Linked DNA regions of Canis lupus familiaris. The protein of the gene in region 1 interacts with the protein of each later gene in a biochemical or structural test. Links are inferred from orthologs where the notes say so. Each region holds a gene or a part of one and is shown in the gene's direction. Other genes may lie near its edges. The genes, in order: LOXL1 and FBLN5.

Region 1 (4,488 bases):
CTTCCTCTTCCCTCCCCCCTCCCTGACTGGGGGTACCCTGAGGCCTGTTTCCACTTCTCCTCCTCCTCTCCTGGCGCTGCTGCCCATCTGGCTGGTTGGAGGGCCCTACGGGACACCAGGGATTCCAAGCAGCTGGGGCCCGCACTGCAGGGGGCAGGCAGGAGGCCTCGAAGGCTTAACCCTCCAGGTCCCGGCCCCCAGTGAGCCTGGCTCTTACTCTGGCTCCTTGTAGGAGCCAAACGGGTGACTCCTGGCCGGAGTCCCACCTGGGGTCCGAAACTTAACCCCACATGAGGTAACTGAGGGGCCTGTGTTGAAGGGTTGCCGGCAGGAGTCCGCTGAATGGAGCCTCACCCCAGGCACAGTGCAATGGGTGAACAAATGCCAGCTGGCAAGGGTGAGGGCCAGGGCTCCAGGGTCCCCGAGGAATGTCCACTCTGGTTTGCTTCTCCCAGGTGGGCTCCAGGAGTCTCCAAAGCAGAGGGGAATCTGCAGAGGCCAAGTGAAGGACAAGTTCTTCCTACGTGATGTAGAAGCACAGGAGGGAAATATTTGCCCTCCAGTTCACGCATGAGTGAGGCTGGGGAAGGCAGCCCAGGGGAGGCAGTCAGAGGGTGACTCCTTGGGTGCCAAGGTTCAAACTTCTGGCACCCCTCCTATCCCCGCTGTCCTCGGAGAAGACAGAGAAACTCTCAAAGCACTCTTGGGGACCATCTGCCCGAATCCCCCATTGATCAGATGTGGCAACTGGATCAGAACGGAGAAGGGCCTTGCCCAAGACCCCCCACCCACCCCCAGGGACTTCATCACAACAACAGGACCAGGCCTGGCTCTCCGGAACCCCCCTTCCTGCTGTTCCCTCAGCACTCGAGGCCTCCTCTGCTCCATCAAAGACAGCCCCTGGGTCGCATTTTACCCACAGGCACCCTCAGATTATTGCCAGGCTATGTTGATGAGAGAGAGAGAGAGAGAGAGAACAGAAACCATGCGATGCAATGTATGAGAAACTGACCTCTCCCGTGACTTCACAAGTTCTGTTGGGCACAGGGGCACACCCCGTTCTACACCCCGTTCTACAGACCAGGAGAGGAAGGCCAAGAGGTGTGCGGGGAGGGGGGAAAGGCTGACACTCCAGCCCCTTTGTGCGCAGGCCTAAGGAACTGGGGTCCAGAATCAGGGGGAGGGGGGATTCGGCATGTCCCCAAGGAGACCCATCAGGAGAGGAAGGCCAAGAGGTGTGCCAGGAGGGGGGAAAAGCTGACGCTCCAGCTCCAGCCCCTTTGTGCTCAGGCCTAAGGAACTGGGGTCCAGATTCAGGGGGAGGGGGGATTCGGCATGTCCCCATCAACAAGAAGGGGGGTCTCTTAGGGCTGGCTTCGGGGAAGGGGCGCTCGGGGAGTCCTGGGAGGGGGGGGGCGGCGGGAGTGAACAGGGGTTAGGGGCTCCTTCAGGGCCGGAGAAGCCAGTGCGCGAGCCCAGGGATGCTGAGCCCAAGGCTGGGGGAAATGGTCCCAGGGCTGTCGACGCGGCTCCGCCTGCCAGGGCCCCGCGCGAGGCCTCCCGCCCCCCCCCCGCCCCCCCCCCCCCGCTTCACCGCCTTCCCCGGAGGCAGGTCTGCGGCTTGGCTGCGCGCTCGCTGGGGCGGCGGGAGCCGGGCCCGAAGCCGGCGGGCCGTAGGGCCGCGCGGAGGAGGCCCCGGCGGGCGGCCTCCCGGCCTCCAGGCCTCCCGGCGCGCCCGGCCCCGGCTCGTTCCCGCGGCGCGGGCGGCAGGTGCGGGGACCCCTCTCCCGCCGAGAGCCCCGCGCCCCGGGCGCCGCCCCGCCCCGCCCCGCCCCGCCCCGCCCGCGGCCTCGCCATGCCGTCCCCGGAGGAGCCGCGCCGCGCGGGGCCCGGCCGGCATGGACTCAGCTAGAGCCGCGGCGGGCGGAGCGCCGAGCCGTCGTGGAGGCCGCGGGCAGAGGAGCGCGCGCCGCGCCGCGGGGGCTGTGCCGAGGGGCCGCCATGGGTGCGGGCGCGGGCGCGGGCGCGGGCGCGGGCGGCGGGCTGCGGGCCCTGCTGTGGGGCGCCTGCCTCTGCGCCCTGGCGCGCGGGCAGGAGGCGCGGCCCGGGCAGGGCGCGGCCGCGGGGCGCTGGCGGCAGCTGATCCGCTGGGAGAACAACGGGCAGGTGTACAGCCTGCTCAACTCGGGCTCCGAGTACGTGGCGCCCGGGCCGCCGCGCCCCGACGGTAGCTCGCGGCTGCTGCTGGCCGGCGCCCCCCAGGCCCCGGCGCGGCGCGGCCCCGGAGGCCTCCGGCGCAGGCAGGCCCCGCCGCTCCCCGCGCTCCCCGCGCACCCCCTGCAGCCCCTGCAGCCCCTGCAGCCCCTGCCCGGGCGCGCGGGCTCCGACACGGTGCGCGGCCAGGCGCGCCACCCCTTCGGCTTCGGCCAGGTGCCCGACAACTGGCGCGAGGTGGCGGTCGGGGACGGCGCGGGGCTGGCGCGGGTGCGCACGGCCGTGTCCCCGCCGCGCCACGGGGGCGGGGGCGCGGGCGCGGGCTCGTCCGTGGCGGCCTCGGCCTTCGCCGCCACCTACCGCCAGCAGCCCTCCTTCCCGCAGCCGTTCCCCCCGCCGCAGGCGCCCTTCGTCGGCCAGTACGAGGCCTACGACCCCGGGTCGCGCAGCTACGACCAGGGCTACGTGTACTACCGCGGCGGCGCGGGGGGCGCGCTGGCGGCGGCGGCGGCCTCGGCCTCGGTCTCCGCGGGGGGCGCCTACCCGTTCCCGCCGCGGCCGCGCTACGAGGACTACGGCGGCGGCGGCGAGGAGCCCCCCGAGCTCCCGCCGCAGACCTTCTACCCCGGCGCGGAGCGGCCCTACGCGCCCCCGCCGCCCGCGCCCGCGCCCGACGGCCTGGACCGCCGCTACGCGCACAGCCTGTACCACGAGGCCGCCGGCCCCGAGCTCGCCGCCCCCGACGCGGGCCCCGCCGCGCCGCGCCTCGCCTGGCTCCCGCCCTACGCCCACGCCGAGCCGCAGCCGCCCTTCCGCGCGCCGGAGCCGCCCTACCTGCCGCTGCGCAGCTCGGACGCGCCCCCGCCCGGGGCCGAGCGGGCCGGCGCGCAGCAGGGGCGCCTCAGCGTGGGCAGCGTGTACCGGCCCAGCCCGAGCGGCCGCGGTGAGTACCCGCCCGGGACCCCCCCCCCGTGCCCCCGCGCCCCCGCGGCCTCCGGGGCCCCCAGGCCCGCGCGCACCCCTAGAGGCGGCACCTGGCCGGGCTTGGCGGGAGGAGGCCCCTGCACCTGCAGGTGGGGGTCAGCTGGGGACAAAGGGAAGGACGCTCTCCCCCTCCCCTGCCTGCCCCCCTCCCTTGTTTCAACGGAGTAGGGGGGCATCTGCCACCCGCCCCCCGCCCACCCCCCTCCGCAGCGCCAGCCTGGCAGGGGGAAAGCTGGGTCTCGCTCGGGGTGGGTGCGCTAAGGCCTCCCGGGGGGATGCCCCTGGACGTGCAGCAAAATCCCAGCCCCTAGCATCTGTGAGCTTGGCCCGCGACGCGCAGGAGGTCAGGGGGGCACCTCGTGGCCCAGGCCGCAGTCCAGACTGAACAACAGGACTTCCCTCGGGGAGCAGGGGGGACACTGCCAGGGCCAGGCTGGCCAAGCTAGCGAGCGAGGCACCGACCCCGGGCGCAAAATTTAAGGCGGATGTCAAAAAAAGCTCAGGGATCAAGGAAAGTGACATGCTAATGCCTCTTGGGTCAAAAGTCATGCAAACGTCTAAGAAAAACCTGTGATGAACAGAGTAGTATCCCGCTTTCAAGCACAATTAGTAACCGAGCCCCGCCGAGCGGTGCGGGAGCCAGAGGCGGACTGATCCTGTACTTATTTGAAATGTTGATTATTTTGTTCCGTCACAGATTTTTCTGGCCACCGATTCTGAGTTTTAAAAAGTGTTGCTGCAGATACTACTTCTCTTGGCTACTGGTTTTTATTTTATTATTATTATTATTATTTTTTATGTTTGGGTGCCCAGGCCCATACCTCGCTCAGCTCAGCTCAGCTCGCTCCTCTCCTCTCGCTCAGCTCAGCTGCTCCCGGGAGAGCCCCAGGAGGGAGCTGGAGACGGCCTCCCTCTGGCGTTTTCATTTTCAGCGGGGGAGAGGGTGGGGATGGATGCAAAACTGTGACCTGGTCTTGGGAAGGCCCAAGCCATCCGTACGGGAGAAGCCCGTGAAGGGACAACCCCGTGAAGCGGCAGCTTTCCTCCGGTGGACAGCTCCACACATGCTGTGGCAGACAGGCTTCCGCACTGAGGGCCCCCGAGTGGCCTGGCCAAGGCTAGGTGGCTATTGCAAGTCCAAAGTCAGCTTCGATCAGGGTTTTCCGTTGACCCCTTCGGGCTGCAGTCACTGCCCCAGTTCTGTGCTCCACGCCAAGGTTGCTGTGCCAGGCGTACCAGGTGAGGGCTGAGCCCGGCAGGGCCCAGGGGGTACAGGCACAGCACCCCCAG
Region 2 (3,799 bases), on another chromosome or scaffold:
CTCTCATGGCTGAAAATGCCCACTGAGTGTGCATGTGTATGAATATGTGTGTGTGCGTGTGTACCTTGATATAAACACATCTTCACCCACCTTATCCATTCCTCTGCTGATGTACACGTTGGTGGCTTCCACGTCTTGGCTCTTGTGAACTGCCCTGCAGGGAGCATGGGAGTGCAGGTGTCTCTTTGAGGTTCTGCTCTCATTTCCTTCAGATAAGTACCCAAAATTGGGATTGCTGGACCATATGGTGGTCCTATTTTTAACTTTTTGAGAAACCTCCAGATCCCTCTCTGTAGTGGCTGCACCAGTTTGCATTCCCGTGGCATTTCCCACAGTTGCAGGACTGGAGCCCCCAGGTCCTTGCTGGCTGTCAGTAGAGGTCTTTCCCTCCTCATCCCCTGCCTCGTGGTCCCCTCCTCCATCTTCAGAGCCACCACTGTGGGTTAAGTCCCTCACAGGCTCTGGATCTCTTCTTTTCCCGTTGTCACATCTCTCTGACTGACCCTTCTTGCCTCTTCTTCTGCTTTTAAGGACTTCTGTGATGACACTGGGCCCACTCATGTAATCCCCCCACATCTCAAGGTCAGCCGGGTAGCAGCTTAAATTCCACCTGCTACCTCATTTTCCTTTACTGAGTAGCCTGATGCTGCCACCAGTTCCGAGGATGAGGACTGACATTTGGGGGCTATTCTCCTAGTACGTCATCTGGTGGAAAAGGTAGACCTGGACAGAGAGAACACCGTATGTGCTGGAATAACAATCATTGCCAAGTTAAGGCCAGAGCCATGGGCCCTACAGAAGTAGGGGAGGCAGTGATGTCTTATGTCAGGGGTCAATAAAAAAAGCCTTCATGGAGGCCACATTTGAATCTAGTATTTTTTTTAATGTTTTATTTATCAGATGAGAAACATAGGCAGAGACATAGGCAGAGGGAGGTCCTGGATCCCCGGACCCCGGAGTCATGTCCTGAGCCACTCAGGTGCCCCTGAATTGAGAACTGAGGGATGAGTAGGATCCTGAGAAATGGCATCCCAAGTGGAAGAAACAGCAGAAGTGAAGACCGGGGTGGAAAGGACACTGCGAGTACAGAATAGTTTGCTGTGGCTGGAGCATAGCTCCTCTACCAGGACAATAAGGCAGCCCCACTTGCTCCCACCTGGGGGGTGTATTTAGCTTTTTGATTATATTTGATGGAAGCCAGGGGCTGTGTCTTCCTGGAGCTCACGTCAGCTAAGACCCAGAGGAGAGACACATGGTTCCCAAAAGTGATGAGTGGTGAGGAACAACACAACCCTGCTGTGGAAAACCTGGGTGTGCACTTTGATTAGAGGCACTGGGAGACGGGGGTGCGCCAGGGGCAGAGAGGGGGGCAGCGGGCCATTGTTTTCTGTCCCACCGGCCTTCTGGAGGGCCTCAGGCTTACGGCTGCAGATGGGGCACCTGAGCCTCAGCATTTCCCTTTCCTGGTGGGCCTTCGTGTGCATTTCTTTGGAGGGGCTGCTTGGGGTGAGCCATCGGGCTTCCGACATGTGTCCCCCAGGCGCTGGCCCCTGTGGAGTGACCCCAAGGCTGCGACAGGGCCCAGCGGGTAGGCTCAGATAGTAGGCTGCTATGCTGGAGCCAGAGCCCAGGGGTCCCCTGCCCCATCCTTGCAGGGCCGATTTTCTCAGGAACCTGCCTCCTGCTCCTGGCATGATGAGCAGAACATTAGCCTGTCTGGAAATGGGCCTGTTGTGGGCTCAGTGTGAGCTGACCTGCAAGGAAGCCTCCACTTTGCTAATAGGTGGCTAGCTCTCAGCCAGGCCGGACGTCTTCCTGCGTGCAAGCGGCTGTCTCCCGTGCCCAGCTGTTATTTGGAGTAGAGGTGGGAGTAATGATTAGGTCTGTCCCCATGTTTCCCAGGGGCACAGGGGGGCCTCTGAGGTGTTACTCACAGAGAGATCCTCTAGTTTAGTATTTATAGATTCCTTTTTCCTGTTTTTCCTTCTATTCATGTTAATTGATAGTGTTTTTACTTGGGCTTCAAATGGGGGTGATAATGTTTTGTGGATACGGCCCCCAAATGGTGATGTGGTCTCTAATGGCTGATGCTCAGGTGACGCTGGTCAGTGTGATCCCATTTAGCCAGCATGTGAGAGTCCCTGCAGTGATGAACCAGGGACTCTCCTCAGCGTCTGGGAGCATGTGGTAGTGAAGAGGTCTTGGGGTCTTTGGCTTAAATATGCAGCACGTAGGGCATGGGCAGGGAGCCGCTAACACTCATCCTTTCCGTGGCCCTTCCAGATATTGATGAATGCCGGACCATCCCTGAGGCCTGCCGAGGAGACATGATGTGTGTTAACCAAAACGGCGGGTATTTATGCATCCCCCGGACAAACCCAGTGTACCGAGGGCCCTACTCGAACCCCTACTCAAACCCATACACGGGTCCGTACCCAGCAGCGGCCCCACCACTATCAGCTCCAAACTACCCCACCATTTCGAGGCCTCTCATATGCCGCTTTGGATACCAGATGGATGAGAGCAACCAGTGTGTGGGTGAGTAGCCTGGCATCTCCGGCTTCTGTGCTCTGGTCAAGTCCTAATCCCGCCACAGTGAAGTCTTCACTCACGAAACAGTGACTTCTTACTTTCTATGAAGTTCCTTCACGTTTAGCAGCCCGTGTCTCTGGGAACCCTCCCAGCTGGGAGTAGCTTGGATTGATGTACGTGAGGGTTCTTCATCCAGAGAGCCAATTTTTCTTCATTTTCATCTGTCAGTCTGTCTCTCTGTCATCTATCTATTTAAAGACGAAGTTTATATTTTTTCTGTTTGATAAAAAATGCTTCTGGTTTCACTGAGTAAATCCCAAAGAGAAGATCTAGAAAGGACCAGCAGTTTCTCTGCAACACTCCTCACCCTCGAATGGAATGTATACTCTTGAAATAAAAAGTCCTGAAGGCCACGGCCAATTGTTCTGGAAAGAGAGTGGGTTCCTTGGGTGGGTGCCAATGTTCTTTTGGCTAAAATGTGAGCCTCACTGATGGTAATTCACAGCAGGAGTAGACCTCTGGGAAGAAGGCGACACCAGAGGCTGTGAGGCCCCCAGGGGGTTGGCAAGCTGTTTGACTGGTGCCCTAGTGAGCTTTGGTATCTGTGGGACAGGGTGGGCCTTGGCAGAGGGTTACCTGGGATCCTCTCTTGGTTGCTTTGATGGTTGGACTAAAACCTTTGTAACTATTTCTAACTTTGGCAGATGGACTAGAGCTATGATGGACTTTTTTTTTTTATCATATGCACCCCATATCCAAGATCATTTTGAGCCTGAAGCCCCATTATAGACATATTTATAAATTACATACATATCCTGTTATGCTAATATGGTTTGAGGAGTGTAATGCATCCATTCAAAAATAGAACATTTTAGAAGATGTGATAGAAATAAATGTGCCTTGAAGCTCTGATACTTCCTTCTGATGTCCTCAAAGGTCTGGAGACCACTGGTGTACCTAGTGAGATTTTTTTTTTTTGTTGGTCCCATTTCAGGGCTCTGAAGCATTGAGCTGTTAGAGAGGCTGGGTTGATTATTTCATGACGTCTTCTATACGTTCATGCAAACGAGTGTCACATTGCCATCTGGATCCATGCAAATAGTATGCAAACAAGTAGCCTGCAGAGTTGCGAGGGGAGAACTTCTCCATTCTTAGGGGTTGCGAGGGACATGGGGTGTGTGAGTGTGTGTGTGTGTGTGTGTGTGTGTGTGTGAGAGAGAGAGAGAGAGAGAGAGGCAGAGGAGGAAGAGAGTGAAAAGGAGGGGTG

What was found.
Region 2: the proteins of LOXL1 (region 1) and FBLN5 form a complex in vitro, tested with the Homo sapiens proteins (2 studies listed by BioGRID and IntAct). The link is inferred for Canis lupus familiaris from reciprocal best matches to the Homo sapiens genes LOXL1 and FBLN5.

Annotation. Positions count from the first base shown.
Region 1 is NC_049251.1:37,620,668-37,625,155, forward strand, and holds the start of LOXL1 (lysyl oxidase homolog 1), read left to right. Parts: upstream 1-1,505; coding exon 1,506-1,770; intron 1,771-1,870; coding exon 1,871-3,157; intron 3,158-4,488. UniProt on the Homo sapiens protein: Catalyzes the oxidative deamination of lysine and hydroxylysine residues in collagen and elastin, resulting in the formation of covalent cross-linkages, and the stabilization of collagen and elastin fibers.
Region 2 is NC_049229.1:1,286,192-1,289,990, reverse strand, and holds part of FBLN5 (fibulin-5), read left to right. Parts: intron 1-2,283; coding exon 2,284-2,538; intron 2,539-3,799. UniProt on the Homo sapiens protein: Essential for elastic fiber formation, is involved in the assembly of continuous elastin (ELN) polymer and promotes the interaction of microfibrils and ELN. Stabilizes and organizes elastic fibers in the skin, lung and vasculature.